Linked DNA regions of Tamandua tetradactyla. The protein of the gene in region 2 interacts with the protein of the main gene of each other region in a biochemical or structural test. Links are inferred from orthologs where the notes say so. Each region holds a gene or a part of one and is shown on either strand. Other genes may lie near its edges.

The links.
Region 1: the proteins of CLINT1 (region 2) and AP2B1 form a complex in vitro, tested with the Homo sapiens proteins (2 studies listed by BioGRID and IntAct, with this or other methods). The link is inferred for Tamandua tetradactyla from reciprocal best matches to the Homo sapiens genes CLINT1 and AP2B1.
Region 3: the proteins of CLINT1 (region 2) and AP1G1 form a complex in vitro, tested with the Homo sapiens proteins (2 studies listed by BioGRID). The link is inferred for Tamandua tetradactyla from reciprocal best matches to the Homo sapiens genes CLINT1 and AP1G1.

The regions. Positions count from the first base shown.
Region 1 is NC_135332.1:46,154,026-46,165,363, forward strand, and holds the start of AP2B1 (AP-2 complex subunit beta), read right to left. Parts: upstream 4,806-11,338; 5' UTR 4,710-4,805; intron 1-4,709. UniProt on the Homo sapiens protein: Component of the adaptor protein complex 2 (AP-2). Adaptor protein complexes function in protein transport via transport vesicles in different membrane traffic pathways.
Region 2 is NC_135346.1:38,935,447-38,945,851, reverse strand, and holds the start of CLINT1 (clathrin interactor 1), read left to right. Parts: upstream 1-5,605; 5' UTR 5,606-5,802; coding exon 5,803-5,843; intron 5,844-5,920; exon of another isoform or gene 5,921-6,229; intron 6,230-6,532; exon of another isoform or gene 6,533-6,606; intron 6,607-10,405. UniProt on the Homo sapiens protein: Binds to membranes enriched in phosphatidylinositol 4,5-bisphosphate (PtdIns(4,5)P2). May have a role in transport via clathrin-coated vesicles from the trans-Golgi network to endosomes. Stimulates clathrin assembly.
Region 3 is NC_135342.1:66,900,084-66,910,705, reverse strand, and holds the start of AP1G1 (AP-1 complex subunit gamma-1), read right to left. Parts: upstream 4,798-10,622; 5' UTR 4,561-4,797; intron 4,555-4,560; exon of another isoform or gene 4,402-4,554; intron 4,388-4,401; exon of another isoform or gene 4,288-4,387; intron 1-4,287. UniProt on the Homo sapiens protein: Subunit of clathrin-associated adaptor protein complex 1 that plays a role in protein sorting in the late-Golgi/trans-Golgi network (TGN) and/or endosomes.

The DNA.
Region 1 (11,338 bases), on a different chromosome or scaffold from region 2:
TTTATTGATAAAAAATGCTAATCATCATCTGAGTTTTCGTGGAGTCATAATCTTTTTGCTGGTGGAGGGGCCTGTCTCAATGTTGATGGCTCCTGAATGATCAGGGTTATGGTTGCTGAAGGTTGATGTGGCTATGGCAATTTCTTAAAACAAGACAACAATAAAGTATGCCGTACCTTAGCTAGATCTTCTGGATTAACTTGCTGTAGCTTCTCCATCAGGACTTACAGCTTCACCTTGCACTTTCATGTTACACAGACAGCTTCTTTCCTTAAATCTCATGAACTAAACTCTGCTAGCTTCAACTTCTTCTTCTGACGCTTCCTCACCTCTCTCAGCCTTCACAGAATTGAAGAGAGTTAGGGCCTCGCTCGGGATAAGTCTTTGGCTTAAGGGAATGTTGTAGCTGCTTTGATCTTTTATCCAGACCACTAAAACTTTCTCCATATCAGCAATAAGGCTGTTTCACTTTCCTATCATTCACTTGTTCACTGGAGTAGCATTTTTAATTTTCTTCAAGAACTTTTCCTTTGCATTTACAATTTGGCTAACTGTTTGGCACAAGAGGCCTAGCTTTCAACCTATCTCAGCTTTCGACATGCCTTCCTCACTAAGCTTAATCACTTCTAGGTTTTGATTTAAAGTGAGTGATGTGCGACTCTTCCTTTTAATTGGACACTTAAAGGCCATGGTAAAATTGGCCTAATTTCAGTATTCTTAGGTCTCAGGGAATAGAGAGGCCTGAAGAGAGGGAGACACAGGACAACAGCCAGTCAGTGAAGCAGTCAGAACACATACAATTATCAATTAAGTTCAACATCTTATATGGGCATAGTTCGAGGCACCCCAAAACAATTATAATAGTAACAGCAAAGATCACACATCACCATAAAAGATAAAAATAATAATAAAAAAGTTTAAAATATTGTGAGAATTACCATAACATGACCAGAGACATGAAGAGAGCAAATGCTGTTGGAAAAATGGCACCAATAGATTGGCTGCCACAAACTTACATTTGTACAAAACACGGTATCTCAGAAGCGCAATAATGCAAAACACAATAAAACAAGGCATTTCTGCATTCTAAATGGCACCTCCTGGTGGTATATTATCACTGACATGGAAAAGTACCAGAATCACAAATTGCCCTTCTTCAGACCTTTTCAGCATGGTCTTGTCAGTGTCAAACAATAAGAAACACCATAGACTTCCTTCACTTACACTCCATAGCTAAAGAGAGAGCTATTCCACTCAATAACCAAGCTCCAGGAGGGGAAGAAAACTAACTTACAAAGTACCTATTATACAGGTGCTATGCTTGACTTTTATCTCGTGAAATAGATACGAGTTAGAAATGAGGAAACAGAGGCTCAGAGAGCTTAATTAAAATAATATTGCCTAAGATCATGAAATGGATGAGCAGAGCTAAGATCTGAATCAATGAATGTATGACTTTAAAGTTCATGTTCTTTTTACCAGAACATACTGCTGTCTCAGTGGGTTTCCTGCTTCCAGTTTCTTTATCCCATCAAATGTACCACGAATATTACTACATACATACTTAGCTTAAAACACCAAGGTGTGACCCTATGAAACTTATTCCTGCAAAGGAAGCTAAGCCTACTTATAATTATACCTAAGAGTCACCCCCAGAGAACCTCATTTGTTGCTCAGATGTGGCCTCTCTATCTAAGACAAATCTGCAGGTGAACTCACTTCCCGGAGTGAGGGACATGATTCCCAAGAGTGTAAATCTCCCTTGCAATGTGGGACACATCCCTGGCTCAACCCAGGGATGAGCCAGGACTCAACACGGGAATGAGAAAGCCTTCTTGACCAAACGGGGGAAGACAGAAATGAGAGAAACTAAAGTTTCAATGGCTGAGAGATTTCAAATAACGTTGAGAGGTTATCATGGAGGTTATTCTTATGCATTATATAGATATCCCTTTTTAGTTTATGGTGTATTGGAGTGGCTAGAGGGAAGTGCCTGAAACTGTTGAACTCTGTACCAGTACCCCGATTCTTGAAGACTGTATAACTATATAGCTTTTACAGTGTGATCATGTGTTTGTGAAAACCTTGTGTCTGATATTCCTTTTATCCAGGATATGGGCAGATGAATTAAAAAATAAGGAAAACCCAGAATGGCCATTATCAACAAAACAGAAAATGACAAGTGCTGGAGAGGATGTGGAGAAAGAGGCACACTTATCCACTGTTGGTGGGAATGTCAAATGGTGCAACCACTGTGGAAGGCAGTTTGGCGGTTCCTCAAAAAACTGAATATAGAATTGCTATACGACCCAGCAATACCATTGCTAGGTATCTACTCAAAGGACTTAAGGGCAAAGACACAAACGGACATTTGCACACCAATGTTTATAGCAGCATTATTTACAATTGCAAAGAGACGGAAACAGCCAAAATGTCCATCAACAGACGAGTGGCTAAACAAACTGTGGTATATACATATGATGGAATATTATGCAGCTTTAAGACAGAATAAACTTATGAAGCATGTAATAACATGGATGGACCTAGAGAACATTATGCTGAGTGAGTCTAGCCAAAAACTAAAGGACAAATACTGTATGGTCCCACTGATGTGAACCGACATTAGAGAATAAACTTGGAATATGTCATTGGTAACAGACCATCAGGAGATAGAAATAGGGTAAGATAATGGGTAATTAGAGCTGAAGGGATACAGACTGTGCAACAGGACTGGATACAAAAACCCAGAAATGGACAGCACAATACTACCTAATTGTAATGTAATTATGTTAAAACACTGAATGAAGCTGCATCTGAGGTATAGATTTTTGTTTGTTTGTTTATTTATTTTTATTTCTTTCTCTCTATTATCATTTTATTTCTTTTTCTGTTGTCTTTTTATTTCTTTTTCTAAATCGATGCAAATGTACTAAGAAATGATGAATATGCATCTATGTGATGATATTGGGAATTACTGATTGTATATGTAGAATGGAATGATTTCTAAATGTTGTGTTAGTTAATTTTTTAATTAATAAAAAAATAGATAATAGAAACTCAGGATGGACTTGTTGGAATTGATAAATAAATAATTGCCATTTGATAAAAAAATAAAAATAAAATAAAAAAATAAGGAAAACTGGGGGGGCCACAGTGGCTTAGCAGGCAAGAATGCTTGCTTGCCATGCAGGAGGACCCGGGTTTGATTCCCAGTGCCTGCACATGTGAAAAAAAAAAAATAAGGAAAACCAAATGGATAAATAGGGAGGAAAAAGGGCAAAAAAAATTGGGTAGACTGAAATACTAGTGGTCAATGAGAGGGAGAGGTCAGGGATATGCGATGTTTGTGTTTTTTGTTTTTATTTCTTTTTCTGGAGTGATGTAAATGTTCTAAAAATGATCATGGTGATGAATACACAACTGCATGATGATACTATAAGCCAATGACTGTATATTGTGGATGGACTGTACGTATGTGAAGATTTCTCAATAAAAAGTTTTAAAAAAAATACCTAGGTGTGATTATGTCATTACTCGGTAGCATTTAATGGCTCCCCATGATGCAAGAAATATATAATCCAAAATACTCTGCCCAGTGTTCAAGATGTTTCAAAATTGACACAAATTTATAGTTAACTAAATACCATAACTCGAACATGTGCCGACCAAACCACATTGACTATTCTTAAATCCTCAAACTTGCTCTCTTCTTCTAGAAAGCCCTTCCCCTCCATAGAAACCTTTCCTGTACTCGGATACTAATTCACCCTTTATAACTCTAAAATGCATGAAGCCTTTCACCATCAGTCCAGCAGGAAACATCTGTCCTTCCTTTGAATTATGAAAGCACTTTGCTGTACCTATGTCGTGATACCTATTTCACTTCGTAGAGTATTTTAAGATCCAGACATACTAACAGGGAATTAAGGTCCTTAAAAATATACCCCTACCTTTCAGCTTCTGGGCAAATCCACCACATGCTCCAACCACACAAATCGGGTATACTTTCCTAGTTTTTTGCCTTTGCACACTTTCTTCCCAACTGGAATGCCCTCCCCACTCATTTTAATCTGGAAACATATTATAGTTTTAAAAATTTATTCAAATATCACCTTGCTATGAAATAATCCCTAATTCCCTCAGTTACCCTTTTCTGACTACCACAGCACTTTTTTTCCCAGCATAAACCAACTATCCACGTGTCTTCCCGCCTTTCCCCCCAGCCCCATCAAAGTTCCCTAAAAAAAACAGGACCGTGTTTAACTGGTCCTTACAACCACTGTGCCCAGGACGGTGCCTGGCACATAGGAGAAAACTCAATAAACCTTGAGCGATCCTCCCTACTAAACCCTAAACTCACGGATTATAAAAGCATCAGCACAATTTATAAGGCCGAGTTACCTCAAACATTTCACGTTAGTAGGGACCATATTTCAAGCTTCTCCAGGCCCTTTCCCCAGCATCCAGCTTATGGCGTTCTGCCCAGCGCCCTCAAAGAAATAAATAATAATATAAATCATGTCCAAATCCCGCCAACTTCAAGTAAAGACTAAGAAGCCATCCTTTAGGGGAAACGCGATAAGGCTGGAGCCAGGACTCGAACCAAAGACCCACGCGGGAGTCTGCCGCGCGCTATCTCAATTTCTAAGCCCCAGATTCTCTCAGGCGGCCTGCCAGGACCTCCGGAGGCTAACAGTAGCCGAACTCACCAGCATTTCGTACCCGCGGACGCACGCCTCCCACGCTTCCACTCAGCTGGACGTTACTAGCCGGCCCGAACCCACAATCCAGAGCGGCCCTCATCGGACAACCAATCGCGCGGCGAACAGCGGGTCACGTGACTTAGGTCCTTGAAGCGGGGCCGGGAGGAGCAGCTAATCCGAGGCCGAGGCAAAAGCCCGGGGTGGAGTGGGCGCTTTTTGCGTCATTTCCTGGCGTCGGGGGATCTGTCTTGACTGCCAGATGGGTGGCTTTTTTTGCCCCGAGCAATTTTCCCACCCACCAACTCCCCCAACAATTCCAGTCCCTCCGATCTTGAGCTGTTAGTCTGAGAGGTTTTGCCGGTATCTTGGGAAGGGCATCTGAGGCGGGTTCGTTGTATTAGGATGTTCCAAGCGTTTGCGGGAAGAACTATTGATGCACAGTCATCCCACGGTATAGATTGCTCTTGAGCAGGATCCCGCTGAGAACTAGGAATTGGGGTGGGGGCACGGATTAAGATGGCCCTTTCTGCTCTGGGGAACTCCTTGGATGGTCCGGAGTGTGGGCCCTTCCTAAATAAGCGAAAGGTTGAGATTGATACCTTAAGAAAGGTGCAGATGAATATCAACGGGCGAAGGAGAGGAGGGAGGACTTCCTAGGACAAGTGGCATTTGATCTAGGTATGGAAGGTAGGGCTGAGGTTGAAAATGAGCTTCTGAGTGAAGAAATAGACTCCCAAATTAGATAAGAAAGAATGCGGGAGGCTTATCAGTTTTTAGATAAAGTTGATACAGTTGGTGCAATGCTTCTTAAAATTTGTTGAGGTAGGAACACCAGAAAGAGCCTGTTAACACTACAGATGTCTCATAGCTCTCCCAAGCGAGCAAACAAAACCAAAAATGCCTAATGACCAACTCGAATTTACTAAACCAAATATTTTAACGGGGCCTGGGCATGAATATTTTTAATAAGCAACCCACTGGTGATTCTGATTCACACCAAAGTTTGAGGACCATGGCAATGTTAAAGGAAGGAAATGGCAGGAGATTGGAAAGACAGGCCAAGGCTTTGTTAAGAAAGGTAGCTGGCTGGCTATGTAGTTCAGACCACTCTGAAGAAAGTGGGTGAATTAAAGATTTCTGAGTCCAAGGAGTTAGGTGATTAGAGCTGTACTTTAGAAAACTCAACCTGTAACTGTTTTTTAATGAATTGGAGGGAGAAAGAGAGTGAAAGGAGGTGAAGCTATTGCAGTGGTCTAGGTGATAGGTGATAGTTCTAAATTAGGACTGTAGTATTGGAAATGGAGAGATGGAAGATAGGAAAGGGAACCTGAGGATAGGGGTGGATAGGACATGAGGAAATAAAAAGAAAGGAGACAAAATGAAGTGTCTTCTGTACCAGATCCTCTAAGGACCTCCTTTGTACTTAAAAGATAGGCGAGTTTAGACATTAAAGAAAATGTGCCTTTGCACATGCTGTTTTCTCTACCTGCTTCATCCTTTTCCCCTGTCTTCCTTCCTCAACCTCAAACATTCTTACTTCAGGTTCCAGCTTACATAACATCTCATTTATGAAATCTTTTCTGATTTCACAAGCACGTTATTGTCACTCCTCAGAACACCCAGAGCCACTGTTTATAAATTGCTAGCTCTTCAGAGTGGTAATAGAGTTTAGTGGTAATTATTCGCATGGACTATAGGCAAGGACTTCTCTCTCTGTTCCTTAGTTTTCCGTTCCTTATAAAGGGGATAGTATTAACATCTACCTCATAGAGCTGTTATAAGACTTGATTGAGAATAAGGCTTAGTATACAGAGGGTTCAGTGATGTTGCTTTGTATATGTTGTACCGTGATGTGTCGTTTGCTGCATGTTTTCCCTCTCTAAGTTATGAACAGTACATGTTATTCTGGCTAGCAGTAAGGCTGTGTGGCAGAACGAGCTTTGTAATCAGGTAGATCATGGTTCAAATCCGATCTCTGCTACTACTCAGTGTGTAATTTTGAGCTTTACCTCCCTAAACTCAATTTCTTCATTCATAGAATGATGAAAATAATGCATGCTTTGTAAGTTGTTGTGAGGATATAAGATAATGAAAGTTCATCTTTGGCCCAAAGAAGGCAGTCAGTTATTTTGATTTGCAGCCCCAGAGCATAAGCACTATGTCTGGAACATAGTAAATATGTAATCACTGAGTAATGAAAGACAGGCTGACATTCTATGCCAGGCGCCATGCTAAGCTCTTTGTGTGCATAATCTTCCTTCATTATCACAAGAAGTCTTTGCAGGAGGCATAACTGTTTTTTCCATTTACACTGAAGGAATCTGAGGCTTAAATTAGTTTAACCGAAGTCTCAGCTAGAAAATGTGCTAGGATTTGAACACCATAAGTACTCAAAAAGTAGCTGATTGAATGGAAGAAGGAATGAAGGTTAAGTAACTTACCAAAGTCAAAAACTGGCATGGTGAGGCAGGGTTGTTGCTCTTGGTCACTGCTATCTGTACTGTTCAAATCATCTTTATGAAAATCAAGGATGAAATGGAGTCACCTGAGAGTCAAGATACCAATTTTTCCCCTTTGGCTGGTGTTTGGCAGTTCATATCTGGTGCACATGAGGATTGTGCTGTAACTGCCTCTATTAAAAAACTGAAATGCTTAATGAATGAATACATTTTAAATTAACTGGTGATTCTGGTTCTCAACCAATCACCAACGGCACGCCAAGATAACTTGTTTTTTTCCCAAGATAACTTTTGCAAGGCCTCAGAAATAAACAGTGTCCATGATACCAATTTCAAATTGTTTTGCATCAAGAACATTTGCTTTAGAAGTATTAGAGCCAAGACATGAGGTCCTTCCTGGCCTAGAGCGTAATGACTTACGTCCAGGTGACTTAACTAAAGCATATGAAGAATGAAGATCCCTTTTCTCAAGTTCCACATCTTGCCTTCCACTGAATTGATCCCCACAGCACACTGATGAAGAATAAGGAGGCAACAACCACCCAGTTTCTAGCACTCCTGTCCAAATGACTGTTTTTCCTGTTGACTGGGGAGAAAAAGGAGAGGTGCTTACATTTCTTTTCTTTTTTTTTAAATTTATTTATTTAAAAAATTTAAGAACAAACAAAAACATTAACATATAATTCCATTCTACATATATATTCAGTAATTCTCAATATCATCACATAGTTGCATATTCATCATTTCTTAGAACATTTGCATCAATTCAGAAAAAGAAATAAAAAGACAACAGAAAAAGAAATAAAACGATAACAGAAAAAAAAAGATTATACATACCATACCCCTTACCCCTCACTTTTGTTTGGTGCGTACATTTCTAATTTTGAAAGCTCTCAAGCAATTCAGAATCCCAAACTTGAAGAAGAAGGAGTAGGAGCATTTGAGTTACACAGGCCTAGCTTTCAATCCCAGATCCTACATTTACTAGCCATGTGTATTAGTGAGGGTTCTCAAGAGAAACAGAACCAACAGGAGAGATCCGTAAATATGAGATTTATAAAGATGTCTCTCTCATGCAACCATGAAAATGGAAGAGTCCAAAATCCATAAGGCAGGCTGTAAGGCTGGCGGCTCTGACGAAGGGTCTGGACGAAACCACAGGAGAGGCTCGCTGGCTGAAGAAGCCGTGAAAAAGTCTCTCTTCTTACTGAAAAGCATTCAGCTGATTGAATTATCTTCTTGTGGGAGACACACCTTAGGTGATTGCAGATGTAATCAGCCACAAATGCAGTCAACTCACTGATGACTTGATACACCAGTCTTCCAGTTTATCAACCATCCATGAAATATCCTTGAAACAACGGTCAGGCCAGTGCTTGCCTGGGTAGACAAATGGGCATAATCATTTAGCCATGCTGACACCAGAATGCTATGTAAACTCAGTCTCTATTAGTTGCCAGCATGGTCCCTTGCACCTAGTTAGCAGATGCCCAGTAAGTGATGGTCATGTTTTTATTGTGAATAATAGCACACCATGACAATTAGATATAGAACAGATTTCAAAGTTTGGTATGGGTTACAGTTCCACAATTTAAGGTTTTTTCCTTCTAGCTGCTCCAAGACACTGAACACTAAAAGAAATACCAATATAATGATTTGGTAATCTTACTCAATTGTTAAATCCTATCTTCTCTGTTATAACTCCATCTTCTTCTTTGATCTTATTCCCAATCTTAAGGGATATTTGGGCTATACTTTTTCTAACTTTTGTGTGTTGAAAAGGGCTGTCAAAAAATCCTAGAATGAGCTGGGACTCAGCATCAAGGGATCGAGAAAAACTTCTCAACTGAAAGGGGGAAGAGAGAAATGAGACAAAATAAAGTGTCAGTGGCTGAGAGATTTTAAATAGAGTCGAGAGATTATCCTGGAGGCTATTCTTACGCATTATATAGATAACCCCTTTTTAGTTTAAGGTGTAATAGGGAGACCGGAGGGAAGTGCCTGAAACTGTAGAGCTGTGTTCCAGTAGCCATGTTTCTTTAAGATGATTGTATAATGATATAGCTTTTGCAAAGTGACTGTATGTTTGTGAAAACCTTGTTCTGATGCTCCTTTTATCTACAGTATGTACAAACTGGTAAAAAATATATGGATTAAAAGTAAATAACAGGAGGAACAAATGTTAAAGTAAATTGAGTAGAGGGAAATACTAGTGCTCAATGAAAGGGAGGGGAAAGGAGTATGGTATGTATGAGTTTTTTCTTTTTTCTTTTTATTTCTTTTTCTGGAGTGATGTAAATGTTCTGAAAATGATTATGGTGATGAATATACAATTATGTGATGAAAAATATATATGTGAGAGTCTAATGCGTTTTAAAATCAATATTATACAAGATCATATTTTGATGATTAAAAAGAAGGAAGAGCAAAAGAAAAGGGCTGTCAATAATATGGGATTGGGAGGGGGAACTAGTTGATATTCTAGAGAGGCAGGTACCTCTGGATTTCAGGACTTATCTGGCCTTAGAAACCCATATGGACATTGTAGATTTCTGGAAAGTAATGATGGTCATTTTTATCCTTCTGAAAGTAAATAAAATATCAGAGGGATTACAGTGTGAAAGTGGGGCTGAAAATTAAGGTAGATGGTAGAACTAAAAGTGAGACTGAAGTCAGGAGTGGAGCGAATGAAGAGGGATTAATATTGGAGCTGACAGCAGACCTTTGGAGTTTATTATGTTTCTGTGATATATCAGCGTATCCATTCTGCCTCCTATCCTGAAAACTCTTTTGAGTGTTAAACATGTACAAAGAGTAATGCCAGCAAAGCAGAACTTTTGCAGGAAGAGAAGTCGAAGTGAACAAAAAACTTGGAATGTCCAGAAACGTATTTGTAGTAGGTTAAATATGTATCCCAGGGTGGGGGGGAACATATCTTAATCTAAATTTAGTCCCATTGGTATGAACACATTGTAAATAAGACCTTTGGAAGATGTTGTTTTTAGTGAAGTTGTGGCCCAACTGAATGAGGTTGGGCCCTAGTCCTATTACTGGAGGATTTATGAAGTGAAAACCACCTGGAAGACCAGAAACTGGAAGTCAGTGGAACTTGGAAGAGAAAAGAGAGGGCTCATCATGTAATGGGTAAGCCAAGGAACCCCAAGAATTGCCAGCATGCCAGATAGCCTTCTAGCCTCCCAAGCCATGAGATAATAAATGCCTATTGTTTAAGCCAACCCACGTGTGGTATTTGTCATACCAGTCAGGAAACTAAGACACTATTTAAGAATGTCATTTCATCATAAACAAATCAAAGTAGAGACACAGCATTGTTTGTTGGCTTGGTTTAGAGGGAGAGATGTACGTTAGTTTCCTGTGGCTGCTGTAACAAATTGCCACCAACTTCATTTTATACACATTTTAAGTCAGGCTGTCCTGTACTTATTCACTGTGAGCAGCATTAACTTATTTTATTATGTTAGTTTCCTGTGGCTGCTGTAACAAATTGCAACCAACTTCATTTTATACACATTTTAAGTCAGGCTGTCCTGTACTTATTCACCACCAAGTTGGTGGTCTAAAACAACAGAAATCTATTCCCCCACAGCTCTGGAGGTCAGAAGCTCAACAGCAGTTTCTCTGGGTTGAAATCAAGGAGTTGGCAGGGCTGTAATCCCTCTGAAAGCTCTAGGGAAGAATCCATTCCTTGCCTCTTTTAGCTTCTGGTGGTTATTGGTATGCCTTTTGTTGTGGCCATATCACTCCAATCTCTGCCTCTGTGGTCACTTTGCCTCCTCCACTTCTGTGTATCAAATCTTCTTTTATATGAATACTCGTGACGGCATTTAGGGCCACCGAGGTAATGCAGGAAACTCTCCCTATCTCAAGATCTTTAACTTCACGTCTGCAAAGACCTTTTTTCCTTATAAGGTAACATTTACAGGTCCGCGGATATCTTTGGGTGGTGGTTATTCATTCTAAACTCGACCTACTACAAGAAGCTTGACACAGTTTGGTCAGCATCCTCAATCTCCAAATGAAATAAGTTTAAACTGCTTAGTTTTTCCATGCAAATTTTTTTATTATAAAAATCATTCATGTTCATTATAGACCATGGTGGGTGGCAAGGGAAGGAAAGGAAAATCAATTAAATGAAAATCATCTGTAGTCTTCCCA
Region 2 (10,405 bases):
ATGTAGGACATAATACATCTACTGAAGCAGGAACTCAAAGAGCATTTATTAAAGATGTCCAGGAATTTCTGATGCATGGTTAGTTCACATGAAACTAGTAAGGAAAAAAGCAGAGATCCAAGTTAATGGATTTGATAATAATAATAATGAGGTAGAATTCAGTTAGCATTTTCTACATGTAGGACCAATGTAAAGTGAGTCCCACACTATTTCACTGGATCCTCAGCACATCCCTTTGCTTTACTGTTTACCATGTTCACTTGTTCACTATGTCTGTTTTACTGACAACTATATATAGCACAGCACCTATAACACAGTAGGAGCTTACTAAATATTTGTTGCATGGTGAATAAATGCTTTTCATTAATACAAATTCAGTAGTAGTAGTAGTATCACTAACACTTATTGAGTGTTACTTTGTGCTAGGTAATGTTCTAAGTGCTTTTAAAATGTCATTTCATTTATTCCTCTTAAAAAGCCTATAAGTTTCTATTGTCCTCCATTGCAGATGAAAAAGCAGACACAGCGAGGGCAAGTATTGGTCCAAAGTAATGCAGCTAGTTATTCAAAGCAAGGCAATCTGGCTCCAGGGTCCCAATTCATAACTTCTATGCTATATTGGTTCAATTAACTTCTCTAGAATGACAAAGCTATTAAATAAGAAGCACCAAATTTGGGCCCTAGGTCTTTCTGACTCCAGAGTCTGCCCTCTTTCACCACTACCCAATACTTCCCCGCTGTGGTTAATTGTCTGGCAGTGCACTGTAGACCACATAAGGAGGCCCCTGGAGTCATACAATGTATTATCTGCATGGCTATCCATGGCAGCCCCCACTGATATGACTAAAACCCAAATTCTAGTCATAAATGTGACTTCCAGAGAGGAGCATTCAGGCTGGATCAGAAACAAGACTCATGGGCCCCAATACTGACACTGAGGTACAGTGTACCTCAAACACTGAGGTACAAACTCTTGTCTTTTGTGTCGGTTTGCATATTGCAAAAGCCAAGATGGAATCAATGTAAGAGATTTATTGGGGGAAATACCTATGAAGTATAAAGAGGAGAGGGAGCAAGAGTAGGTAGGGAGAGCCGCAGACCACGATGAAGTTCCCTGTCGAGGGAGGGAGGTAGGGAAGGAAGAAGGACTGGTTAGGAAGAGGCTCACATTGCAGCAAAATTGAGGAAATCTGGGCCAGGCCAATGGGGAGCCCAAGGCAATGACTGCCCAGTAGAAGAGTCTTGCAATGGTAGAAATGGCCTGGAGCCAATACACTTTGCTCAGTTATTGGCTGACAGTATCCCTGGAAGAGTGTGGCCTTGGCATAAATGCTGTGGCAGACCCTAGAAGAGTAGCCACTAGTGGCTGTCAGCCAACCACACTCCTCACAGCTAGACCTCTAGAAAGGAGAGCTGGGCAGCACCGCCTCATGGCTGCCCCGCCTATGGACCACCAATTAACCCCCACCCTAAGGAAACACCAGGTACAGGAGATAAGCGCTCAGTGTTCATTGTCTACAACTACGTCTCACAAACAACACAGCTGAGTATGTTTTCTTTCAAAACATGTGTTGGCTCGACCTTATTCCAAGTATCAACGCATCTAGGGAAAAATGTTTTCCTGGAGAGTGGTGGGAGTGGGGTGTTTTCTCACTTATTTTTCTACCATGGACATATTTAAATTGCCACAAAGAAGTAACTATGGAAACTGCTCCCCAAACTTGCAAGATAAAAGGTAAAAATGGAACACTTTGTTGATATGCAAATGGTTCATCTTTGGAGACCACTTTGTTTAACAAACTTGCCGTGCCTGGTTCTCCTGGGTGTATTCAGGGTTCTCTTGAACTAATGGTGGACAGGCAGGATGTTTTTGTGTGGTTTACATTCTAGATGGCTCAGGTTGACTGTGAAAACACCACAGACAACAACTCTGGAAAAAATCTATACGCACATGAAGTTGGTGTTGGAACAAGGAAAGTAGATAATTATATTGTACTCTGGGTAACTGGCCAGGGTGACTGTAAATTGCTGTGAACATGCAAAAAGGCCCAGGATGGGGGCGGTGTTTTTGTGCCAGCCCCAGGATGGAGGAGGTGTTTGTTTTTGCGCAAGGCCCATTCTGAGGGTGTACCCTGGACTTGCTGGTTTGAAAGTTAACTTACTGAGCTCTCATTTATGCAAAGTAGTTTCTCTTTCTTATCTCTTCTGGCGACATTCCAGACTTTGATGGAGCTAGTCAGTCTTTTCAACATGAAATCCAAACTTATTTGAAAGCCCCATTCCTCACCTATCTCTGTTAGTCTTTACCTGACCTGCCCCACCCACCTCTCCAACTTGCTTTATACCTACCAGAGCACTCCTATATTGACAAAGCTCTGAGGTAGCTTTGTCCTGATTTCTACTCTGTTCTTTTCTGTCTGGTAATGCCTACAATTTGTTCTCTGGGGATTTAATCTCCTTTCAAAGTTGCCTCCATAATTAAATGGATGCAACCTGAAGAGGTAACTTTGCCTGGGAGACCCAGGAGTCAGAGGTTCTGGGTTCTTGATTTGGTTTTATTACTTTCCAGCTTCATGACTAGGAGCGAGCAATTTCACTTCTTTGTGAATCAGATCCTTCTTTTTCCTTGGCCAAGGACTTTTTTCTTGCAGAGCTTTTTATGGTCAGCTTGTTTTTTAATTTAAAAAATTATCATTCAAGTTGTAGTTTAAATATCATGTTCTCTAAAAAGCCCCAAATATTCCCTAACATTCTACTTTAACATCATTTTTATCATATTATCTTAATTCTATTTTCTTCAGGCCCTTACTATCTGCATTTATGCAGATAGTCTTAAATGTTTACTTGATTATCTGTTTTCTCCAACTACCTTTAAGCTCCAAGAGAGCATGGACCTTGTTTGTTTTGTTCCCAGCTGCACCCTCCACTCCAGGCATATAGGTGGTCAATAAATACTTAAGAATGAAAATGACTCTAAAAGTTTAGGCAGTTAGATCAAGTGGATTAAAGTCACTTGCAGCTTTAACATGAACAATGACAAAGATGAATAAGTGAGAAATGAAATTGATGACAACCACTGAAACAGAATACTGGAAGGAGTATGTGTATACTTAAGCTTTATGAATAGAAAACTGCCAAGTTCTTGGTGGTGCCAAATGTATCTATAGTGTTGTCTTTCTATAGATAGTTCTTACGGAGTGTGAACTGAGTTTCTGAGCTTTATAATAAAGTATTTAACAAACATATAAGGTAGCTTACTGTATCAGTCAGTATTCTACCAAAGAAACAGAACCAATAGGATATTAATACACATACACAAAACACACATATTTCAAAGATTGGATTATACAGTTGTGAAGACGGACAAGCCCAAAGTTTGCAGGGTTGTCTGACATGCTAGAAACTCAGCTCAGGAAGAAATTGAACTGCAGTCCTCAGGTATAAACTTCAGTTTTGCTCTTAAAGCCTTTAACTGATTGGATGAGGCCCACACAAATTATGGAGGATATTCTCCTTTACTTAAAGTCAACTGATTGTAGTTGTTAACCACATCCACGAAATATCTTCACAGCAACATTACTAAACCTACATTAGTGTTTGATTGAATAACTAAACACTATAGATAGCCTAGCCAAGTTGACACTTAAAACTAACCATCACACTATGTAAATATAAAACCCACTGTATCACAGAATTAAAGTGGAGGAGATTTTAGAATATAATCTCTTCAATTTACAAGGGAGAAAACTGAAGCCCAGAGATTTAAGTATATTTGGACATTTGGATGTGTCTGTTAATGATGTGTCTGTTAATGAAGAATAATATACCAATCATACTTCTTTACGATCATTATTAACAATATAATAATACTGTAGATTTGAAAAGCATGTTTGAGTGTGGTTAGAGCTTACACTTGTGTGCACCTCAGAACCATCTGCAAGGCTCATTGCAGCAAAGACTGCTAGGCATCACCCCTAGAATTTTTTATTCTGGAAAGGGACCCCATAATTTGCATTTCTAACAAGTTTCCAGGGGGGTGTTGATGCTGCTGGTCTGGGTCCACACTTTGAGAATGGCTGTCCTACACTATCCAATCCATTATCTCATTTGACCCACACTACAATGCACACCTGTACGGTGCCATGGCAAGGATTATTATTCTCATTTCACAAATAAGGACATTTAGTGATTAGGAGACTAAATAACTTGCCCAACATCCCATGATTCATAAGAGATAGAACTAGGACTGGCATCCAAATTTCCTGCCATCTCAGTGTGCTCTACCCACTCACCTGCTTGGGGAGGTTGTTTCCCATTCTTGGAAGCTAGGTACCTCCTCTGCTCTCACCTGACTAGAGCATTCCTCAACCTGTGGCTCTTCCTTTTCCTTGGTCAAAAGCCTTTAGGGGAGTTGAGAAATCTGCTGTTGCTTGCCTTTCATCGGGGCTGTTGGCCCTCAGCCTGCTCCTCTGTCTCCTGTGACCAGGCAAATTTGTTACCAGGAAATGTGATGTGGAATCTCAGTTGTTTTGTGAACCATTTTGTTTATACTGGTATATCATCCATATACAGTTTTGCAGAGTACTGCTCTCTATGATTTTCACAAGGAGCAGATCATTGCCTTTAAGGGATGCCTTCCAACGTTGGATGGCATTCTGTAAAAGGTGCCACTTATAACACACAATATCTATGAAAAGCTCATCTCTGACACCAGCTCATAGCATGTTGGCTGCCATGAAGAGGAGTTGAAAGCTGAGGCTTCTTGCATTCTGCCACTTGTGTTTGATTCCCACCTCCATCTTTTAACAAACTATATGCCTTTGTGCAAACTTTTTTTTTTTTTTTTTTTTTTAACATGGGCAGGCACCGGGAATCGAACCTAGTTCCTCTGGTATGGCAGGCGAGAACTCTGCCTGCTGAGCCACGGTGGCCCACCCCTTTGTGCAAGCTTTTAAAGTTTCCCCTTCTTTTTATTTTCGAAGAGTGAGATTAAACAAAATAATCTAGGTAGTGGTCCGTGTGTGGCATGAAGTAAATCATGCAGATTAAATGAAATCATCTGCGGTAAAGGGTTTAGAAAAGTGCCAGTCTTCACAAATGAGGACATTGTATAAAGTCCTCTATGTTAGCTATTTCCAGTACTGTTATGGGTGCTCCAAGTTTTTAAGAAAGGAGTTATTTTCTTGTTTTATTTTTCCTTATGACACGTAACACTTTCTAAATATAGCTGCAGCTCACGTTTTCGCCTTTGTTTAGTGCTGTATTCTTGTCTAGAACCTAAGCTCCAGGAAGGCAAGGATTTTCCTCTGCTTTGTTGGCTGCTGCGTCCGTAGTTACGTGCAACAGTGCAAGCTCAGAAAACTCTTTCAGTAAATATTTATTGAATGTATAAATTGAAGATGAATTGTAGGCAAAGCGTGCCTTTTTCTTCATCCCGAGGATTCTAACTGCCTGGTGGAAAGAAACCATCCCATGCTTAGAACACCAGCTCTCCTCCAATTTCAACTAGCTAGAGCCGCGATTTAGCCCTCCGCTCGACGCGCGGAGAGAACTACAAGTCCCGGCGTACCCTGCGCCCAGAGAGAGGCGAGTCGGACACTTCCGCTCCACGCAGCGCCTTTGCCGCCGCGTCCCGACGTGTCACCGGCGGCGCTGCGGCCGTGGCTAGGGAAGGGACCGACTGGGGGAGTTCGAAGCGGCGGGCGGCTGTGACCCCAGCCTGGAATTGTCCCGGCACGGAAGTGCTCCGGGGTCCTTGGGCAGCAGGAGAGCGAAGCGGCTGCCTGGCTCGCGTGGGGCAGGATGTTGAACATGTGGAAGGTGCGGGAGCTGGTGGACAAAGCGTGAGTATCGGGGGGCAGTTGTGGCCGAGGCCCACCCCAGGAGGGGAAGTAGAGGGAGGGGAGCCGGCCCTGGCGCGCGGGGCCACCCGCGTCACGCCCCCCGGCTCAGCCAGCCCCATCATGGCGGCTGCCGGGTCTCTCCCGAGCCTAGTCCCCACTGGCGAGACTGGGTAGAGACCCTCCCTCGTTTCAAAACATCGCCTTAGTCCACTTCTTTCCTGGCTCTTTTTTCCTTCCCCTACCGCCACCCACCTCCGGGTCGCAGACGCTTTGGCCAGGGAAGAGGGTGGGGTTGCCGATAGCTGGGTCACTGTCCTGCCTTCGGGCTCTTTTGCCCCTAGGCTGTGGGCTTTGACTTCAGGGCTCCTGGAAGGCTTGGAAGTGGAGTAGGTGCGCACTGGTTCTCTGTGTTTCTCAGGGTGCGGTACGGAGACTTTTGGCCTGGTTGGGATATGTCCTTTACTCTCCTGGGTTTCTTTTAATTTCTTATGAACCTGGAAATGTTGGAGTGGGTGATAGGTGTAACAAGTGGCCATTGTCGTCAGGCCGAAGTTACTCAAGGGGAGTCTCATCCTTTGCTTTTCTAACAGTAGTGAGAGTAGATCAACATGTAACTTGTGATTCTTTTCCTCTATTTCCTTTTCCACTATGCTTTTTGTGGGCCACTTATTCCATTTGTTTCAATTAAGAAGTCGTTAAGAATTTCCCCTGAAGAAGAAAGCAACGTTTATATCTGTTGCTGTGCTTTTAACTTCACTCACAGGTAAAATGACTAATATGTAAGTGATTTCCTTAAAGACTCAAAGGATAACTCAGTATCTCAGTGCACAGGGAAACCTTAACACTTAAGTTATCATATGCAACAGTGGTTAAGTAAGACCTTCTAGGTTAGCAGGAAATACAGTTTAAGAATTAAACCAATCCTCTTTCTTTCGGGTGTTAGTGATTATGCAATAAGAGTGGTGAGAAAACAGTTCATTTGTGCCAGCCCTCCATCTTAAAATCAGGAAGTATAGATGGCAAACTATTGGCTTTTCTTGACGTCAGAAAACAAAATGATTCACGGTGTCTTGGATAATGCATAGAACTGTTGGACTGTATTTCTAGATTTTGTATGATACCAAGAAGGCAGTATAGTGCCTAAGAAGCACAGGTTTCAGAAACCTGCTGAGCTGGGGTTCAAGCTCTGTAACCTTAACCTTGTCCTCCAGTTGCTGCAAAATGAAAATAATGATAAATGTGTACCTTAGAATGTTGTGAGAAATAAGGTCTCAGACTTAGATTGCATGGAAAGCCCTTAGCACAATATATGTAAATCAGTATACTTCTGATAACTATGACAGAAGCTCTGGCATTGAGAGTTAGATAAACTTCCTTGAGAGAGGCTCTGTGTTTGAATGTTTGGGAAGCAATTTACTTTAATCATTTTTCTTTTCAACTATTCACTTGACCACTAGGACGTCATTTCTTTTGGGCTTATTTTGCTATTTATTTACCCTTTTTCTTCCCAAAAATCAACCATTATTTCAGTGTTTCCTTTCCAGGTCCGAGTACTTTAAAAATATATTGTACGGAAATGAGAACACCCTCTTAAATAGTTTTGTTTTGTTTTTTGAATTTTTAATTTAGTAAAATATGTATGACAAAATCATTTTAACCTTTTTTTTTTTGTATCCTGTATGGCGGGCTCATATTCCTTTTCCATGTGAGTATCCCATTATTGCAGCACCATTTGTTGAAAATTTTTTGTTTGTTTGCTTGTTTTTTGGGAAGTGCATGGATCAGGAATTGAACCCAGGTCTCCTGCATGGCAGGCAAGGATTCCACCACTGAACCCTCACCCCCCCCCCGCCATTTTAACCATTTTTAAGTGGCCAATTCTGTAACACTTAAGTACATTGACAATTTTGTGTAACCTTTACCACTGTTTCTAGAACATTTTCATCGTCCCAGACAGAAACTTGTAACCATTAAGCAATAACTCCCTATTCCCCCTCCCCCCTCCCCGGGTCACCACTATTCTGCTTTCTGTCTCTGAATTTGCTTTTTCTAAAAGTTCAAAAGAAGCCTCTTCATTTCTAAGCCAGTGTACAGCAGAAGAAAACCACTAAGAAATACCTTGTTTCTTAGAGGCCTCCATTTATGGTATGCAAAAATTTGAAGAGACTGTACACTTTACGGGGTCAGAAATATTTCTGCTGTTCATTCTGTATTTGTTTCTATCACCTTATGTTATTAATTTTCAAGTGCTTCATGTTCAGTTTGCCATGTAAGTAGTTATCAAGTAGTTTAGTCAAAAAATAACTTCAGTCTTCCTTTTTGTTAATCAATTTAAAATAAAGACTTGAACGAAATTATTCAAGAATGTGTAAGAATGTTGCCACAAGCAATTTTGAAAACTTTTATGGATGTCTGACACATGATATTGAGATTAAGAACATGAGGTTATTTTACTGATGAATACTTGGAATTTAGTTTTCATCTTTCAGTGGCAGGGAGAAAAGAAATTATTCCTAAAAATATAAGCAGAACCATATATTTTTTTCAGTTAAACTGTACACCTTAAAATGCCATTACAGAGGTGGAACAGATCCATACATAGAATGGGTGCTCTGATTATCAAGGGATAAGAAGAGGAAGAAATTTACAGATCAGGAAAGACTATTCAGAAGGCTTAAATTAATGAAGTAAGGACTTATATGACAGAAAGGACAATAGGAAGTTTGAGAATTAGGTTCAGATTCTACCACTGCCTCTGATTGGCACTATGTATGATATGAGGCAGCAGCTCATGTCTCCAGACCATGATTTCTTTTTTGTAAAATGAAAGGATTGGGCTAGAATAAGACTTTCCAAATTCTAGGACTATTTGGAGAAGTGAATTTCTACCAAGGAAGAGAAATTGGAACTAGTATTTCACAGTTGCGATAAATTTTAGAAAATTATTACCTTCCAGAGACAATTTAGGCTGAAAAGGGACATAAAAAAATAAATAAATTTATTAATGTCGTAATCAACACATTATATTTAATACTTTATGTAATAAGTGCACCCATAACCCAGGAGAACCAGAATTTTTATTATATATCCCTCCCCAGTGAAGTTTACCTCAGAAAGAAAAATGTATTCTTCCAAAATATGTTTCTTGGAGCTCCTGCTAGATACAGTATGGTGGGATTTCTTCAGTATGGTGATATATTTCAAACATGGGCTTTTGAGACCTTTTCCGGAATGTGTGTGTAGAGGGTATTTGTCACAGTTATTGTGCCTCCTGGTGGTATTAAATGGATCTGTTTTGCAGAATCTGGAACTGAAGAAAAGCAGTTGAAGCCTTAGGCCATCCTGAGCTTGGAGTGCCAGTTTCCTTCCCACTCTTAGACAAGTTGCATAAAAAGCATCTGTGGTGAGAAAGGATAAGTGACAGCACTCCCAGCAACTAGGACTGGCTTGACCCCTGTCATTTTATAACCTGACTCCATTTGGGGCTGTGATAAAATGGGATAATTTTTATTTTATCATTTGAAAAGCCGTATAAATTTAAAGTTTCTGGAGTTCTACTAAATCTTACCTTTAAATGTGGGAAATGTAGTGAACGTGACGTGATAATGGTAGACCAAAACTGCTACTAACTGTTCAAGTTCAGTTAACCCTCCTCTTTCATTGCAGAGAGTAAGATTAATGGTTAAACTGTTACATCAGTGGCTCTTATTTTTAAGTGATAGTAATTCAGACAGCTCTGGCCAAGGTCCTAAGGCAGCTGCTATAAATGGTCCACGTTAAGTTTTTCTCTTAAGCATAACTTGCATTTTTCCCCATAAGTTGATTTTTGTAGGTGTTTATTTGCTTGTTTTTTTTAGTTCCTAAATGTTTAGATAATATAATAGAACTCTAGAGTGTTCTTCTCTAGCTGACCCCAGAGGAGAACCATTTGCTTTTATAGACAATAGTTCACTCAACTCTTTCAACAGATAGTACGTTATTTATCAGATTACTACTGTATTGAAAAGCAGCTTTCAAGAAACTTGCCACTGCAAGTATATAATAAAGCCACAGCTTGAATTTATCATTGGTTTTGCCTTCCTTTTAGCCCTCTTGTTTTCCCCCCTTCTTTTCCCTATCTTACTAGGAAATCTCTGTTCAATTTGCTTCTTAGAACTTGAAAGCAAAGATGATTAAATCAGCTTTCCAGTCTTCCTATATCAGCTTTTCTTTGAGCCAATTATAGGTATTGTTATTGCTGAAACAATGAATTGAATATCCTTCCTCTCTTCTAGTAACTGGACACAAGTGTATATTAAGTATTTAATTCCAAAGGAAGATGAGTTTAATTTCTCTTCCATCAGCATTTCTTAGGGGTAATTTTCTATACTTTAAGTTAGTCTGTGTATCACTGCTGCAGGGGGCTTCTAAAAAGCACTTAGCTGCCTCTTACGTTTTCCTGTTCCCTTTAGTATTAGTTTATAAACAACTTTTTTCTTCTGTTTACTATGTCCACTAAAAGTACTTAGCATTTTTATTTAAAGTGCCACTTACTAATGCTTCTAGTTTTAAATAGTATGGCA
Region 3 (10,622 bases), on a different chromosome or scaffold from region 2:
AAATACCACCCTATTATTGATACCCTGCACTGGTATGGTACATTCTTATGATAAGGTTTTTTCCCCCTTCAATAGTCATACCAAAAAACCAATATCTACAAAGATTCAACTCTACACTGTATGCCTAAATATTTTGTTCGTTTTCCCAACCAGCCATCTCAACCAACTATTTTCACAATACTTTTAAAAGTATAATGCTTTCAAAATTTTAAAAAGTGGAAAGTGAACCAAATCTTTGTGCAGACTTAAAAAATATATATTTAAAAAAATTTACATAAATTTTTAAATTATAAAAAGAATTAACTTTCCTTCCTTTTTCTCAACTTGAAACTGAACAATTTCCCAATCGTGAGGTTCAGTAAATAGCTCACAAAATTGAGCTGCAGAAACATAAAAGGAGCTCCTTTTATTTTGAGTTGTACAACTGCCAAATCATTTAGAAAGTTTAGTTCTTTTACCAAATACTCTATGACTGGTCTTAATTTTAATTCAAAGGCTTGTGAGAATGGGGGTGAAAAAAGTTAATCACGTACCAAAGTCTAAATTCAATGTCTTTCTCATATTTACTATTCTGAAAAATCCATAAAATTAACCTCAAAGCCTAAGAAGTTGAAAAGCCTGAGTTGCTCAGTACAATACAAATACAACCAGATATAACAAGCTGAAGTTAGTAAAGAAACTGCCTATCAGGTTACAATAAGACTGCTGTAACAATGAAGAAGGAGGAGTAAAAAACTACTTGCCTTTAAAATGCCTTTCTTCAAAGTACAAAGGTCACATATTTTTCCCAACTTTAAAAAAACAAAGACTTTTCTCCTTCTAAGTTTATTTCATTTTCATTCATATCATAAATGAAATAAACTTAGAAGAAAATATACTAGTTTGAGATGGCTGGTTGGGAAAACTAACAAAATATTTAGGCATACTGTGTAGAGTTCATTGAATCTATGTAGATATTAGTTTTTTGGTGTAACAACATATATAGCTTATTAATTTTACCTCTCTAAAGTTCTGAGTATGCTAAAAAAAAAAAAAAAGCAAAACTTCCAAGTACTTGGTGAAAAAAAAGCATTTATTTCAATCATATTATCCTACATCTTGACCTTTTATGCTAAGCTCTGAACTACACCCAACTCAACAAGCTTGGCAATTTTTTTTTTCTACTTCTTGACCCTTCAAATTTGACAGGAGATTGTTCTTCCAATAACCAAACTCATGCCAATTAAGTATTTCGTGTAACTCCTTCAGGGAAGAAAAACACCTTACATGTAATTTCAAAGTAGAAATTACACCTCTTTTCCCCTTTTTCTTTCCTGCCTTCACTGAAATAAAATTTCCTACGCCCCCCCAAAAAAGGCAGCTGGAAAAATCTTAATACAAGCATTTTGACAAAGATATGATTCTTAAAACCTGTAAGCCAAGAAATATAAGAGGTTATACAAATCTATATGCTCTCAGTTTTAAAATTGCTTTCTCCTTTAAATACCAGTCTTCATTAAAGAAACCGAGTAAAAGCAACTAAGAAATGAAAAAAAAAAATCATGAACTCAATTCATAAAGCAAAGAAAGGTTAAATTATAAACAACTAAAACAGCCAAACAAGCTGTTGCAGTTTGATGAAAGATAATCATTTTAGATTTTTGGAAGCTAAATGCAACTAAGTCTTAGAGCTTTGATATCAATTAAATTCTGCTGTACACAGAAATTTTTAAATCCTCATAAAATGTAAATAAGGGGATTAAGCATTGCAAAAATCTGTTTTGGTATGTGGTTTCCCAATTCAACTTTTTAAATTAAAAATAAGCTTAGTTGTTTTGGAAAACACTGGTTCGACTTTTTAATTCTGTGCAAGTTAAAGAGTTTATAAAACACAAGAAACTTTTTTTGGCACACCAATGAGTTAAGACTTCTTTTTAAAGTAAAGTAAATACTGGGATGAAATAACACCAAACCATCAAGGATGGATCAGAGGCAGAATTCTCACCTGCCATGCCAGAGACCCAGGTTTGATTCCCAGACCCTGCTCATGTGAAAAAAAAAAAAAAAGAAAGAAAATCACCAAACCATTGCTGGCAAATTTCTGTACTTGACCGCTTTACTCAAAGTTCACTCCCAAACCTAGAACTACTTGTCAGTGAAATACCAAAGAACAGGCAACCACTTTCAAAAGAAAAATGAACTGAGGTCTCCTAAACACTAATGTTAGTTTCAAATACAATCCCAGCAACCTGACAAAAGTAGACATTCAAGCATATTCTGATCAGTGAGGCACTAAACAGCACTTTGCTTATAATTTGGAAAGCAAAAGGACACTTTTTCGAACTGAATGCAAACCTAAAAATGAATGACATTTAAATATCAGATTATACCATGAAATGAAATGAATGAAATAACATCTATCTGATAGCTCTTCCAATACTTTGTTTTAAAAGTGTAACTCAGAAATAGAACATTTCAGTGGTATCTACAAGGAGATACTTTGTGAATGAATGAGCATTTCCTAAGTGTTAAGTGCTGTCAGCTCCTTTAAAACAGAAAAAAAAAAAAAGGCATAGCTTCCAAGTAAATACAGACTCACAAAACTCACTAATATCTAATGTAACTATTATAATTTTTTAAATTCTCCTTAAAACAAGTTGACAAGGATGGGTCACGGTGGCTCAGCAGGCAGAGTTCTCGCCTGCCATGCCAGAGACCCGGGTTTGATTCTTGGTGCCTGCCCATGTTAAAAAAAAAAAAGTTGACAAAAACATTGAGCATTTACCCTAAAAACAATGCCTTGTACTGTACCGAAGCATCAGATGACTTGTACAGGAATTTATTTTCAGTCTCATTTCAATCACTTGGTAAGAAAAATGCATTTATATATGGATGAGAAGTATTAAAAATTTTTGACTCAGTTCAAGTAAGAAATTTAGATTTCAGTAGTCACTAGACTGCTGTGCTCTCGAATAAATTATTTCTCTTTTGCAAATCTAAAAACCCAGGCTCAGATGTGAATTGCCCGTGATGCACTCACACTCACCTAATCGGTGAATTACTGTGAAATGTTTTTTATCCAAACATGCTATATACAAGCATACTTTAGGAGTGGTATAAAAGGAATGAGATTATGATACCTAGAGGTCCATATTTTTTCAAACCAAAAGTCAAGATGCATATAGTCTGACAAGTATTATGGAGAAGTGAATATTTTAAATCCAACTACCCCCAGAAAACCCAATACACGAAGTCGACACAGTATTTTTAAACTGACTAAATTCTCTTATGTAAAGGGGAGGGGAAGAAATCACTGAACCACTTCAGGCAGCCAGCAAAGGTCATTACCATACAAAACACCTGAAAGTTTACAACACTAAAAAAATCTTTGCTCTCTTCTGTTAAATATCCCTTTATCATACAAAAATGAAATGAAATAAAATAACTCTGCTTTCTACCTAAATCAGATTAATATTCTTCATAAGATTTCCATGCCATGGACATATAACACCAAGAAAAATATACAAGTGTCATTAAAAACCCAAAACCTAAGTGCTAAGCACTGCAAGGTAATTCACAAAATGAGACAACATTTGACAGCCTTCTCGCACCCACCCCCAAAAAAGCATTTAATCTGCTTTATAAACATTTACTATTGAAATACATACTGGGCGGGTGGTTTGACGGATCTCCTACACACCAAACCCTAATAGGGAAATGTAATCAACCCTCCTAACTCTTTCAGGCAGTCAAGGCGGTGAGATCGGGAAAATTATCAGAAACTGACGTCAGTAGGATAAAGTGTTTGAGAGAAGGGTAACCGGTATATTCGCAGGTGAGTTAAGAAAACAACAACCAAAAAAAAAAAAAAAAACAAAAACGGGCAATTGGGAAAGAAGTTGGCTGGAAGGTTAGAGGGAGGAGAGGTAGATGTCCGGTTCTGTGAGAACGGCATTGCAGAGGCAGACAGCGTTTGACTGAGCATTTGGAAATGCTAACGAGTTTCTGTGAGAGACAAGATCGGGGTACAAGATACAAGTACGTCGATACGTGGCTCAGAGAAGACACGCGGAGGTGGGCCCGCCCCGCTAACCCTAGGCTCCCTGAATGAGCCCTCAAAGGAAGATCGCAGCCTGAGAAAGTCAATGGGTTCAAGGAGGCCCGCACCCGCCCAGCAACGCCACAGCACGGAAAGCCGCCGCGCGCTGAGCCTCCAGGTCCAAGACCTCAGGGGCGGCCCTCAAGAAGTCGGAGCAACCCCTGGGGCGCCGGGCCCCTCCTGGTTCAGCTTCTGTCCTGTCTTCTCACCCCTACTGCCTGAGACCGGACCTCTAGTGTTGACAGGATGTCTCCGGCCGAGCACTTGCGGCAGCCGCTGGGCAAAAGCAGCAGTATACTCTCGGCGCCGCAAGTGACACTCACCGGCCCGAAACCTCGAATGAAACCAGCAGCTTCGGGGGCGGCGGCAGCAGTAGCAGCAGGAACCGAACATCCAAAATGGCGGCTCCCTCGGCCTCACCACCGCTACTGCAGGCGGAGGGATCCTAACGAGGGAGGGAGTTTTTAACTAACTTTACGCACTGTGGCAGAAACTCCGCGTCCCCGTCCTCTCTCTTTGTCGATTCTGCGTCCCCACTGCAACTTCTCGCGCTTCCCCTCTCCTATTATTCAAGAGCCCGGACCCCGCCGAGGACTATTTGCCACGGAGGAGGCGACTGCCCCTGGCCAAGCGACGCAAAGCGTAGCAAGGTTCAGGGCTGTCACTGATGACGCGAGACGTTGCTGCCGAGTCACCTCTGCGGTGAGTCTGAGTGAGAAAGATCCGACAAACCCCGGCGCCGATGGACTTTGGTTCCGCAAGGCGGGTGAGAGACCTGGGCTATCAGGAAGAGGCGGGGGTCACCTGAAGGGGCGGGACTAGCAAGGTAGAGGAGGAAGTGGGAGAGGCCAGGCAGCTGGGGGCAGAGTACGCTGATCCGCTTAAACCGCAGAATCCTCTTTCCGAGTACCTGTGAGACCTTAGCCTTCTCTTAGTTCAACTTCAGAAACATGCTCCAACTGATCCTGAATTCTGCGGTTTATAGTATCTTTGTAACATATTGCATGAAAGGGAGGATGACTCAGAAGAATGGGTTCCAAGCAGTACCTCCTGCGCTGGACAATTTATTTAAACTCGGAACCTCCGATTCCTCACATATAAAAAAAGAGAGGGCTTGAACTACCGTAAACTTCCAGTGTGGACTTTCTGTTTGTGACTTCATAAACGATTGAGTTGAGCCAAAGAAAGTTTGACCAGCCAGTTCCTAGCCTGATAAATAATTACTAACCCTTTACAAGATTATTTTCCATGTGAACGTTAAGAGCACGATGATATCTTGGTCCATTTAAAGGAAAGATTAACTACCCAGACTAAAACCTTCAGGAAAATTAGTGATAAAATACCGCTAAAAGGAAATAAAGCACAGCACCAAACTAGATGCCTAAATGAACAGATTTAAACACAAATCTTAAGTTTAAAACCTGAATGATACAGCTAAGACCTTTCTCTTTTTTTGCCTTAGGCAGTTATTTCCATGTAAGAATTTCAAAACTAAAAAAAAAAAAAATGAGCTGGGTAGTCCCACTGTGCAGCTCTGTCCTCAAGCTACTGGAGCATGCTAAGTGACCGGACAGAAAGGAAGCTAAGAGCATAATACTAGTAATTTTTATTATTATTAAGTATGGCTATCACCCTTTACAAAGCACCTCTGTATATATCATCTAATCCTCCCAACAACCTCCTGAGTTAGACTGGGCAAACTTGAATAACTCAGTTTTACAAATAAAGAGACTGAGGTTCAGGGAAACTTGGAATTGCGGAAGGAACTTCCGGCCTCAACCTTCTCCTTTCTGCCCTCTGCCACTGGAGTTCTGCTATCCTCTGGTGCCATTGTGCAAATTAGGAACTGGTAATACCCCAACATCCCCAAACACACACACATGCAAACACACACACACTGGGTGAACTGAGACCATAGCAAATGGTTTGGGGATTGGAATGCTTATGGAATTTAGCCCCATCCTATCCTCTCCCTTGCACTACTCTACACAGCAGCCTTGGATTGCATAAACTAGTACATAGTAGTGTGAAACTACAACACTGTAATGATGACGTATCTCTTGATTCTTCTGAGGGATAACTGTGGCCCAAACAGGTACCAAGGTACACTTTGGAGTTTCCATAAAAGTAACAATTTTGCAGGTTGCAAAGCAGAGGTAGCTAAAGAGTTAGCTTTCAGTTTGTGGAAAGTCACAAATGTTTACTTAGAGTTGGGAATTTAAATGTTTACTAATATTTTGTAGTAAGTGTTTGCTAACCACAAAAGAAAAGTTAAGAACACCTTCTTAAAGGAGAAAAGTATCTTTTTCTGCTTATTGGCAGAATACTAAAGAGAAAATTATAAAATGTAAAACCTACATGTAGTTTTTACTTATATTTATTTTTATTTATAATTACCAAACACCTCTCCCATGCAACTAAAAATTTAAAACAATTGACCCGGTATAAAGTGTGGTAATCGTTAGCCTGTGATTTTTAGTTTCCCTGGGCAATGATTAAAGCCTGGAAATGCTTACTCCTCAGCTTCTCCAACATAATCCCTAATCCAAAATAAATAAATTACAGTACACTAAAATCCATACAATGGAATACTATGTACAATAAAATCCATCAATAGACTACTAGGTTGCCAATGAAAATAAAGCTATAGTATCTTTATTATCATGATATGCCAGATTTTTAAAAACAATATTTCAAAACAGTATGATAGGGGTTGCACTACTGTGTGAACTGGAGATGGGGGTGGCCCGGGCATGAAGTGGAAAGAATTGAAAAGAATTCAGCTCAACAAACAGATTTGATCTCAAATGCAACATGGTGGGAGTTCAAAGATCCTAGAGGGGCTAACAGAGTAGACCAGATGATGAACCTGGAGAAGATGGGACACAAAGGATTCCTGCTGGAATTTTGGCTCTTTCCTCCTCTCCAGATGGTACCTTCAGGTGCATCCTTATTGGAAGCAGCTGTGACCAGCAAGGGCTTAGTGGTATGGGATACATTGTTAGTAGGTCAATCAATAAATCTGGAAAATGGCCAGTTCCACCATGATGACTGAGTTTCTTTCTCCTCATGGGTTTTGCTGTAGGGTGGAAGCTAAGGTTTCAACATTCCATTGTTATTCCTACTAATATGTACTTGGCTTCCTTGGTAAGGAGTCTTCTCATCATTAGTGCCACCACACTCGACCAGAATCTTCAAACACCCATGTACTTTTTCCTCAGGAGTCTGTCCATCTTAGATATGTGCTTCATTTCTGTAATTGTCCCCAGTGCCTGTGTCAACTCTCTCACTGACAACAGGGTCATTTTAGTGGCTGGGGGTACAACTCAGATCTTCCTAGTCCTTTACTGTGCCTGCGTGGAAATATTATTATTCACCATCATGGCCCAGGATTACCCTGTGACTGCTTTTCTCTGTGGTCTGGTCTATGCAGATGTGCACAGTGGTAACACTTTCCAGTTGTCCTTCTGTCAGTCCATTGTTATGCACCAATTTCTCTGTGACATCCCTTCTCTACTGAGGCTTTCTTGCCCTGACACCTTCAACAATGAATTCTTAATTGTGTCTGCCATGAGGTTTGGTGTTGGCTGCTTTATCTTCATTGTCATATCTTATACTCACCTATTTTCTACTGTGCTCAAGTTTCCAACCAATGGAGAGTGAGGAAAGACCTTTTCCACCTGTGTCCCTCACATCATTGTTGTATTTGTCTTCTTTAGCTCAACCTTATATGTGTATTTAATGCCATCTTCAGTGTCAGACATGTTTCTGGATATGATTTTCTCTGTTTTCGATTCCATAATTCCTCCATTTTTAAATCCCATTTTCAACAGTCTTAGAAACAAACAGACCAAGGGAGCACTGAAAAAAAATAATGCAAACTTTTCTGCAGGAAAAATATTAGATGAATTTCAAGTTTTTCTAAATGCTTTCATATCAAGTTGATATATACACACACACACATTTTGATATTCATTTAGCTACAAATGCTATTACTGGATTGATAAAAATTACTGCTGTACTTTTACGTGCTTATTTGCCTTTTGATCACATTAGTTGATTTAGAATGATATGTAGGAAAGGGATAGAAGTGTATATATAATATAAAACCAGGAATTCTTAGGATTTTCATTGAGACTGCCTCTTCAAAACTTCCCTCATTGTGAGTCTAGGGACTCACACATATCTATAGTGATTATTTCTGCCTAAACATTGCTCTTTCGCTTAAAATCTTCAAAATCAGTGAGGACATATCAAATTCGTACTTTATAATGAGTTGATAAAGTCAAGGGTATTGTATCACATGTTAAATACTAATAAATGGATACTAAATTTGTCACTATAGATTATTATATATAATCAACATTTATCAATATTAAAAATTATATTCAAGAAAATATTGATAAATAATAAAGAGATCATTTGCTAGTTATGTTATTGATCCCAATGCAGATAAAATTTAAATAATTATTTAATCAATAAATTCATTTTAACTTCTTACAAATTGAGATCCTTATATGTGGAGTAAAACTATAGAATGAAATAAGTGATAATACAATCTTTCTACAATTTGAGAAATTAAAAGTTGGTTTCTAAGTTAAAAATTGCATAAATTGTGTTTTCGATTTCTTTCATAAACTGCAGAAAACATCACTTGATTCCAGAATCAGGAAGCATGTGCCCTCTTGAGATTTACCCATATTATTGCATAGATCAATAGCTGAACATATTTTCATTATATGGATGTACTAAGGTTTGTTTGTACCTTCATCTGCTGATAAACACAGAGCTCTTTCTGGTTTTGGCTTAATATTTAAATTGTTATAAATATTCAAATGCAGGCTTTGTCTGAACATATGCTTTTATTTTTCTTGATAAAATACCTAAGTGTGGGACTGCTGGAGCACAACGTGAACGTATATTGAACTTTATAGGACGTTGTCAAATTGTTTTCCAAACTGACAGTACAATTGTGTATCTTCAGGAATAAATCGGGCCTCCAATTGTCTGTCACTGGTCAATGCTTTCTATCATTGATTTTTTAAAAATATATCCCTTCTAGTAGGGTATGTAATGATTTGTATTATTGGTTTTAATATACATTTCCCTAGTGGTTATTGATGTTGAACACTGTTTTGTGAACTTGTTTTTCATCAGTATCTCTTTCTTTGTTAAGTTTCCTTGTTAAATCTTTGCATATCACAAGGTCATAAGATTTCTGTTTTCTTCTACAGGATCTATACTTTTAAATTTAACATTTAGGCCTATAGTCCCTTTTTAGTTAGGTTTGTGTGTAGTGCAATGTAGTGATTGCATTAGTTTTAATAAGTGTATCCAACTGTTCTGGCACCATTTATTGAAAATAATATTCACTTCAAAAAAAAAAGTATGATAAAATGAGCTTGAAAATATTGCATCTATGAACAGAAAAATTTGAAGGGCAAAATAAAATGTAGAGATGGTTATCTATGGGTGGTGAAATTATAAATGTTTTCACTTTTTTTCCTGCAATAAGCATACTATGCTTTTACAGTGGGGAAAAAAACAAAATTTTACATTTTGAGAAGTCCTTATAAGATAATGCAGTGTTATGGATCCAAATGCCAAAGGGGATTTTTGTTTTTAAAACAACAATAGGCCGTGAAGATGAAAAAGCCCTCCCACAGCCTTGGGCAACTCCACCCTGGTCTTCCACGGAGCTGTTGGTAGCAAACCTCAGGCAGCATCTCCTTTGAGCTGTTTGCAAACAAAGTTCCAAAGACAGCAGGGAATTTTTGTGCTTTGAGCACTGGGGAGAAAAGTTTTGGTTAGAAGGATTACTGCTTTCAGAGAATTATTTTTGGATCTATGTGTCAGGGATGGTGAATTCACAAACCATAATGGCACTGGTGGCAAGTCCATCTACAGGGAGAAATTTGATAATGAGAACTTCATCCTGAAGCATACAGGTCCTGGTATCATGTCCATGGCCAAGGCTGGACCCAACACAAATGTGTGAAAGTATTTTGAAAAGTAAAAAGTATGAAGAGAACACAAGTATTCTCTTTCCTGGATTTAGGGATGCAATGGGGTTCTTAATTACATCATTTCTAGCTGCTGAAGCCCTATGGCCTTTATAGCAGAAAGTGAAAGCTCTCTGCCAAAATGCAGTCAGTTCTTTTCGCGAGCAAGTCTTCTGCTCTCCATCTGACACAGAACTCAGCTGAGAAAGGTGACTGAGGAGGGAGCATAAGCATACTGGAAACCCAGTGATGTGAGTCAAAGAGGTGCCTCCAGTGGCCTATTATCATTTGAGTCACCCAAATCTATAAATAAGTCTGCAAGTCAGAGAGAAAATAGTCCCTCTGATGTCCGTTATGTTATGCTTTCACAAAAAGCATTTTTACAATTCTTTCAAACATCGTCTCTAATCACAGTTTATTCTGGTTTGAGAAAAGGGATTAAGAATTAATTGTTCAGTCACGACAAAAGCCAGAAGTGATGTGAAAATTAAAATTCAAAAAGCCAACTCTAGATGCTTGATGAAAGAAAAACTTTTCATGCA